Daphnia pulex: one gene and its partner. The protein of the gene in region 1 interacts with the protein of each later gene in a pairwise test. Links are inferred from orthologs where the notes say so. Each region holds a gene or a part of one and is shown in the gene's direction. Other genes may lie near its edges. The genes, in order: serine/threonine-protein phosphatase PP1-beta catalytic subunit and uncharacterized protein LOC124191462.

The links.
Region 2: the proteins of serine/threonine-protein phosphatase PP1-beta catalytic subunit (region 1) and uncharacterized protein LOC124191462 interact in a two-hybrid assay, tested with the Drosophila melanogaster proteins (2 studies listed by BioGRID). The link is inferred for Daphnia pulex from reciprocal best matches to the Drosophila melanogaster genes flw and Zasp66.

The regions. Positions count from the first base shown.
Region 1 is NC_060021.1:5,451,936-5,456,000, reverse strand, and holds serine/threonine-protein phosphatase PP1-beta catalytic subunit, read left to right. Parts: upstream 1-1,184; 5' UTR 1,185-1,202; coding exon 1,203-1,323; intron 1,324-1,386; exon of another isoform or gene 1,387-1,573; coding exon of another isoform or gene 1,574-1,589; intron 1,590-1,741; coding exon 1,742-1,873; intron 1,874-1,966; coding exon 1,967-2,197; intron 2,198-2,259; coding exon 2,260-2,436; intron 2,437-2,508; coding exon 2,509-2,795; intron 2,796-2,856; coding exon 2,857-2,958; 3' UTR 2,959-3,248; downstream 3,249-4,065. Other genes in the region: probable ATP-dependent RNA helicase DDX10, read right to left, coding at 3,394-3,574, 3,632-3,736, 3,797-4,065. UniProt on the Drosophila melanogaster protein: Required for cell adhesion in non-muscle tissues and in maintenance of muscle attachment. Vital for larval development.
Region 2 is NC_060019.1:9,912,201-9,916,573, forward strand, and holds the start of uncharacterized protein LOC124191462, read left to right. Parts: upstream 1-1,411; 5' UTR 1,412-2,062; coding exon 2,063-2,185; intron 2,186-2,965; coding exon 2,966-3,102; intron 3,103-3,258; coding exon 3,259-3,361; intron 3,362-3,723; coding exon 3,724-3,888; intron 3,889-4,240; coding exon 4,241-4,373.

The DNA.
Region 1 (4,065 bases):
TTTTTTCATCATTAGATGCTATGTGTCGAAAAGCTAAAGTGTTTTTCCACTGTGATGGAGCCCAAGCTCTAGGTAAAATTCCAATTGATGTTGAATCGATGTCAATTGATTTATAAAGGTATTTTACAATTTAATATATGATTGTTATTTCGATGTAATTCACTCTTTTTTCGCATCATTCTTTTCTTGAACTTGAACAAAAGGTGTTGGTGCTCTTTACGTGATAGGCCGACCACGGGTTAGGATTGAAGCTCTGCAAAGTGGAGGTGGTCAGGAATGAGGGATACGTGGTGGAACAGTTCCTACTCCACTGACAGAGTGACAGTTGGTTTTGGCGCAGCATGTGAAGTAGCTCAGCAAGAACTTAAGGTTTTAGTTCATGTCATAGTAGTATCCATACATAACTAATTGATCAAAACCATGTTTTAGTATAATCATGCCAGATTAGTAAACTATCGCAACGCTTGATCGATCAGATTGGTAATAGTTTAACACATGTCGTACGAAATTGAGATCCTGAACACTCCTACCCAGGTTGTGTAAACCTTTCTTTCGCCTACGTCGAGGGAGAAAGTCTTTTCATGGCCCTGAAAGGTAACTTTATATAAAGGCAACTTCCACTACCTTTCATTTTAACTAATTCTTTTTATTACGTAAGACGTGGCACTCTCAAGCGGAAGTACTTGCACCTCAGCATTGCTGGAACTTTCATATATTTTGCGGACCATTGGCGCTGAAGAAGATTTGGCGCATTCTTCTATTCGATTTGGAATTGGGCGATTCACCACCGAAGCTGAGGTTGATTACACGGCAGAAAAGTGTATTCATCAAGTATCACCAAACTTCGAGAAATGAGGTATATACCGACCAGGTTTGGAATTCCCAGACAAAAAGCTTATTTTACTTCCGCTAAAAATGTTAATTTGTCCTTCTTCCTTATTTGTTTATTTTTGTCGAAATGAAAATTTATAAATGCAACGTCGTTCTTTTTTTTTTTTTATGGTCAGTGTTTTAAAAAAGTAGAAGAGTATACAGAGTACAATAAAATAAAAAATTACAGAGTAAAATAAAAAATAACGACAAGAAAATGAAGCACAAGAACAAGACTGCCTAATTCCAAAATTCTTCCAAGATAGCTCTGTCACTTAGCCGAAGGCCAACGCTTGCAACGCGAGCCCTAGTTTCCCTAGCAGACGAAAGCCATGTCTCAAGTTCAGGTGTTTACATCCAGATGGTGCTGCACAACTATTTTAATCCCGTCTGACTTTTCGATGATGGCGGACGACCTTAATGTTGACAGTATTATTTCTCGATTGTTAGAAGGTAAGTCATTATGAATTAAAAATTTTGATTAAAACTAATAGAGCAGTCTGAAAGCTAGGAACTAAGTGGTCTCATTGATACATCTTTTATGCGTTCAATAGCTTCTTAGACTACTTTTTTGGTGTAGAACTGCAAAGGGCTTCAATTTTCAATTTCGAAAATAATGATTACGTTGGCAATTTTGTGACGCTAAACAAATTCTTGAAACCAATATTTCCCCATCTTCTTATTTATATTTAAATGAAACTAAATGGTCTCATTCAATGGTAATAATTTAAGGTTCTATACAACTTGATTAGAGTATTTATATCACATACCCACAGCCTTGTTCCTTGCCCTAAAAATGAAATTGTCATGTGATTACCTGTAAATCAAATTGTTAATCACTAACCATTTTTTTTTATGTGTTTTGTAACAGTGAGAGGATGCCGGCCTGGGAAGTCTGTGCAGATGACAGAGGCTGAAGTTAGGGGCTTGTGTTTAAAATCCAGAGAGATTTTCCTTCAACAGCCAATACTCCTTGAGCTAGAAGCACCCCTGAAAATTTGTGGTATGCACTAATTTTAACAAATTTCATTCTTATTTTTTTTACTTGGGACTTCCAAAGAGGTAGTAAATTATATTTTCTGTTTGGTATTTTCAGGTGATATTCATGGCCAGTATACAGATTTGCTAAGATTGTTTGAGTATGGAGGTTTCCCCCCTGAAGCAAATTATTTATTTCTTGGCGATTACGTGGATCGCGGAAAACAGTCCTTGGAAACCATTTGCCTTCTACTTGCTTATAAAATCAAGTACCCTGAAAATTTCTTCTTATTAAGAGGAAATCACGAATGTGCATCCATCAACAGAATTTATGGCTTTTATGATGAATGTAAGTAACTATCGTTTTCTAAATGGCCATTTTTTAGAGTGATGTATTCTGCTTTATCTTAGGCAAACGGCGGTACAACATTAAACTGTGGAAGACTTTCACCGATTGTTTTAATTGTCTTCCTATCGCCGCCATAATTGACGAGAAAATATTTTGTTGTCACGGCGGCTTAAGTCCCGACCTACAAAACATGGACCAAATCAAACGTATTATGAGGCCGACTGATGTACCTGACACTGGTAAACTTCGACTTGGCTTTTACACCTGAAATATATATAACATCATATGTGGCTGATTTGTTTTACATTCAGGCCTTCTTTGTGACCTGCTGTGGTCCGACCCTGATAAAGACGTGCAAGGATGGTCTGAAAATGACCGCGGCGTTTCCTTCACTTTCGGAGCTGATGTTGTCAGCAAATTTTTGAATCGCCATGACCTTGACTTGATTTGCAGAGCTCATCAGGTCGTAGAAGATGGTTACGAATTTTTTGCCAAACGTCAACTGGTTACTCTCTTTTCTGCGCCAAATTACTGCGGGGAGTTTGACAACGCGGGCGGCATGATGAGCGTTGATGAAACACTTATGTGCTCTTTTCAGGTATTTCTATTGAATGTTTAATATTTGTAACTCAAATTTAAAATTTTTCCAAATTCGTTAGATTTTGAAACCCTCGGAGAAGAAAGCAAAATACCAGTATTCTGGTATCAACGCCACGAAGCCGAACGCAGCTGCCAACAAACCAGTGCCCAAGAAGAAGTAATAGTTAGTAAGAGTTATTGTAAGCTTAATCCTATTGAATTATTTGATCGACTTAACCTTTCAACCGGAATGTGGTGGGAGCCATCAATGCCCAATTTCCCCTTTTTAACAAATTCTTACAACTACTATTTCTGTTGCCCTCGTCACACAATTTGGAGGACAACGTTACTCCTTCGCATGCTTCGTCAGCGTCTTCATTTTTTTCCTCGTTACTTACCACATCTCTTTCTCCCTTCATTTAGTGTATATCCTCTGTAAATCAAACAAATAAACCAACATGATATCAGCAAACTTGAACATGCTTTCCTTGTATGACGCAATGAAACAGTTTACAATTACGTCGGAAAAGATTCAGTCGACAAGCCGCGTTAATGTCAAAGTTCTCAATCCATTAAGCTGACTGTGTATTTCATATGGACAACGAGGCAGTCTTTCTTTAATTTTTAGAGCCAAGAATGTGAAGAGCCAACTCTTCGTCCATAGCCAAATCCAGGCCAGTGTCAAATTTACTGTTCTTAGCTGGTTTCTGTTTCTTAGGTGGCTTCTTCTTGATCCATTTTTGTTTCGTCTTTGTAGGTGTGGGAAGTTCTTCGCTTTCACTCGGTTGTCGCCGTTTCCTAATTATGAGAAAGAATTAATAGAATTCCAACTTGGTTTCAGCCAAATGTTTGTACCTTGTAATCGGGGTAGGCTTGACAGGTGCTTCGTCATTGTCACTTTCACTATCATCTTCACTGTCGTCATCTTCTTCACTCTCGCTCGGCAATCGCGAGCGTTTCCTAAATAAAGACAGAATTACTTTATTGGAACAAACGAAAATTAAATGGGAGATTTCTTACTTTGCAACAGCTGGCCCTCTGTAAACCTCACCTTCTTCTTCGCTATCATCTTCCTTGGCGCCGTAGATGCGATCGGGATCGGGTAAAGCGTCTATAATTTCTCCGACTGAACCATCGACACTCTCGTCACCTTCAGACTCTTCGTCCTCCTCCTCACCTTCGACATTCGTTACTTCTTCTTCCTTCTCTACCCGGTTGGCAAGTCTACGCTCTGCTTTGGCTTTGAGTCGATCTTCGCGATGTTTGGCTTTAATACGCTGACGGAAGAT
Region 2 (4,373 bases), on another chromosome or scaffold:
CTATTTCCTGGATAGAAAAAGGGCGAAACTATTCCGGAAATCAGTCGCGCAAGCGCACTCGCGCTGTGTGCGGAATTGTTGGATTTTTTTGTTGTTTTTTTTTGCTATACTTGATCCAGCGATCCTGTTGTGCATTTCTTCTTTGGTGGTGGGGGGGCTGGCTCATTCATAAGATGATGATCGATGGCTGTTGATCGAGTCAACGCAACGAGGACACATTTTTATCTCACTCGGGCGTTGAATGTCGCCATTCCATTCGGACGGGAGGCAAAAGAAAGATCGAATCCCACGATGGTGAAATATGTATGCCAAGGTTACATCAGGATTCAAAGAAGAAGCACAACTATAACACAGAAAGTCAGGCGTCAACGCTGGGGCGGTATCAGAGCGAGACAGGACAGTTTTTTTTCCCGAAAAACAAAAAATGATTTCAAACTGCGCAATAGTGCGTGAAATAAACGAGCAGTCATCAGTAAAATAGAAGCGACTAGATCCCAAGAGAATGTTCTAGATTATTCGTGAATTCAAATCTTCTAGTTTCTCGAAGGAATCATATCATTTTAAGAACTGAGTCGATCGTTCTGGAATGCTATCAGCGACATGCTTCGTGAACCGAGTCATCCCGATGGCATGTCGTCGGGAGGGGGGCGAAAATAGTAAAAGCGCCAGAGGATCAGAGACAATGTTTTGATTCATTGAATGACGAATCCGTTTGGATTGAAATGTGTCAACACCACCAGTAGGTATAGAGGGAAGATTTTGGGCTGATATTGCGTGGGCACGGCATCAGCCGATCACGTGGAGTCAATTTCTTCTTCACTTTTTGGCTGCCGCGCCAAAAAAGCTACGGGGCGACCTATACGCTAATGAGATAGAGAGGGCTCCCAGCTTGATGAACCCGACAATTTAGCTGCCCCTCTGTGTGTGTGTGTGTGTGTCATGGACCTCTGCCTTTTGAAATGGCAGCCCAGACAAACAACATCGGACACGGTTTTTAAAAAATAAGAGCGGACACGCCGTTTGCTGCGCCGGCCAACCTAACTCTACTATATATTGCGAGAAAGAAAAGAGCTTGCACCTATTTTAGGACCGTACAACTCATTTTGTTTGCCTGGAATTTCTTTTTTTTTTCTTTTTCCCCTGTGAGTGTTTGGACTCTTCTACACTTTTAACGACGCGAATTCAAATGCGCAACACTTCCTGAATACCCGCTAATGATCAACGGGCATAGCGCTCTTGTCAACTGCGTAGATATTCAAGAGAAAATAATTTTCTAGAACCAGCGATCATGTGATCCTCTCGTGTGGGAAAGTGCGACGACCTTTTTTGCGAATTGCGCAATGTTGGCCCGCAACATTGAGCATAAGGCAACGACTCGGTTGTTGTTTGCCCTTGAAGTCGTCGTTGTTCGTTGTTGGGGCGACTCTGACGACGTTATCGTCGACGTGTTGCTCCGCTTTTTTCTATCCGCCACTTTTGCGTCCCGTGGTGGGTATACGAGTCTGGCATCGCTAAGAATTGTGTCGGGTTTGTGTGTTTTGTTTCATTTTGGCACGATGTTCAGTTCGGCCGAGCTTGCCGCCCTCCCGGTGCTGCCAAGAAAGAGAGAAAAGATTTCCGTCAGCAGAGCAGGATAGAAAAGAACGAAGCTTTAGCCCTGGCGACGGCGGGAGTAGTGAGACAGTAGGGAGGATCCTGTGTGCACGGCACAGTGCAGACTTCGGGTTTTTCGCCTTCATCAGTCGAGTATTATTGCGAGTCGCGGACGCCCACTCGCTCCTCTATTCTCTCCACCTAAGCGACAGCTCCTCAGTGTTTTTCTCTATTCTCATTTTGAATTGAACACAAACACAGTTTGAATCTTCTTCATCTGAGGCCAGTCTTTTCTCTTGTTACCTCAAGAGACCATCAGGTCTAGGTCAAATCGTGAAATCTTTTTCCCGTCGTGAACTGCTTCGTATTATATTTGGCTGAAAGAAAAAAATCCGACAACCAGCTGAAACGTATATACTATATACATCATCTCCCATATTTTAGCCAATTTCAAAGAGCTCTCATCTAAATGATGACCGTCATGAGTGCTGGGGAATTGACCGTGAACCTGCAGCGAGATGGGTGCGGCGAACCTTTCGGCTTCCGGCTCCGAGGAGGAACCGACATCCGAGAGGCATTCATCATTCAAAGGGTGAAATTTCCCTATTTTCCAATTTCAATCCCCGTTGTTATACTACGTTCAAAGTCCCTGATAATTATTGAGAAAATGTCGTGACAAATTCTGTGGGTCTTGATTTCCTATTTTAAGGAAATGGCCGGGGTTGCGAAGAGGAAGAGAGAGAGAGAGAGCGGACCATTTCCTGATTGTTTTTTTGCCAGTTGCCCCACAAAGTCGTGCGCGGTTTCTGCAGCTTCACGACTTGCGCTCGCCAAAATGAGACGGGAGTCTTTTGTCGAGAGTGTCGGTGGTTCTCTCTCTCTCTTTCTCTTTTTGGCACCGAAGCTCGGGCCTAAAATTAAATATTCGTTTGGGTGAAGCGCCCAGCAGAGTACGATATGGCATACCGTCCGTCCGTCGTCATGTTGACCTCGTTCTACATGCTGGCCCAGTTTGATTTTTTTTGTTTTTCACGCTTTTTTTGTTGGTCAACATTCTGCTGGCCACCTCGCCCGTGTTCTTTACTATCAGCGGTCGCTGAAAGACAGAGGGCCCCCCTTCATGCCATTCGGTATAAACACTTCAGCATATTAATGACTCTGACATTCCTGGTGAAATTGCCCTGTTCTTTTCATGGCTCCAAGAATGGCTCAGTTAAAAGATATTGCCGTGGAAAAAAGAAGTTAAAAATAGATTCAGTCACGGGACTTTAGCGGGTCAGCAAACGATTAAAACGGACCGTGCTGATGATGGGGGTCGAGGCGGATATTATGTTAAGAGATTTGCATTGATTGATGGTCGTGTGTGAATCAGGTGGCCGTGGGTAGCGAACTGCGTCGCGGTGATGTTTTGACCAAAATCAACGACCGTCCTTGTTCGACAATGACCCATCGCGAAGCTGCCGAATTGATCAAGAACGCCGGCACCACCATGACTGTCACCGTTCAGCGGTAGACTTTTCAAACCTTTCGCTTGATTTACAACATTTGTCTTTCATACAAATATCTGATTTTTGTATACATTTGACTCTACTTGTCGGTTTGATTAACCGATTGGGGGTTTCATTATTGATGACAAATCGACAACAACAAAATGCGCACCTGTAGAGGTGGACTGCCCTTGCGCCCGGTCGCTGTCCCCGTTGTTGCTCCATCCGCCGCCGCCCCCGCTCCTTCAACTGTCGCTTCTTCCGGTTCAATGTGTCAAAAAGTACGTCAGAAAGCAGAGCCATTACATTTCAAATCAATGCGCATTATAAGGTTGCGTTACCCACATCATCACCTCTAAACACTTCTCACTTCTATTCTTTTTTGTTCTCCTTTCCGTGTCATAACAATGTACTACCTGCACGAATTCGCTTGATTGTCACTCACGAGATGATGCTCTTCTTGTTTAGTTGCTAGGGCTAATCAACGACTAACATTTTTTATGAAATCAATCCCTCAATTCCATTGAGACTGGCAGTTTTTAAAAATTGTATCTACATTAATTTGTCCTTTTTTTTATAATTTTTCCATCTGGTTATTCTGGAACTTTGTTTCTTATCACGAATGAACCACGAATATTTTTAGGCGCCGACCCAAGCGGGAGCTTCAAACAGGACGATTTCGGAGATTATGCTAAGTCCTGTTGAGAATCTGCCAGTCACTATATTCCCCAGCTCAGCTATCAACGAATTCAACCAACAAGTCGAAGAAATGGATCGCAACCGTGAAAGGATCGTCGTCACTCACCAGGTAAAAAAAAAAATGCCATTCGATGCTAAATTCCCGCAAGCCGAATGGCAGCACCGAGCTTGTTGGTGGTTCCGATTCACGCTGCCAGATGTCCTGCAGAACCAATCCTTTTATCATGTCGTTCATTCAATGCATTACAGTATAATAGCCATGCGATCTGAAAAATGATCCCTTCGTCATTAGCCGAGTCATAGGTTTGATCTGATTCGTGACTAGTTGCCCTAAATGTTTTCAAAATGAATAGCAAACGGAAGTTGCGTGATTACCCGACATCGGCTCGGCAAAGCTTTCACTTGATCAATCAGTGTTTCAGAATCATGTAAATACGTAATCAATCTGAAAACATTATTAGCCGTACAGGACACTTCCTTTGGTAGTACCCGGTGCCAAAACTGGTCGCGACACTGCCAGCTCCACGCAGAGCTATTTGGCACTTCAAACGCAACAGAATGCAATGCTTTGGAACACCCCTGGTGCACCTCCGC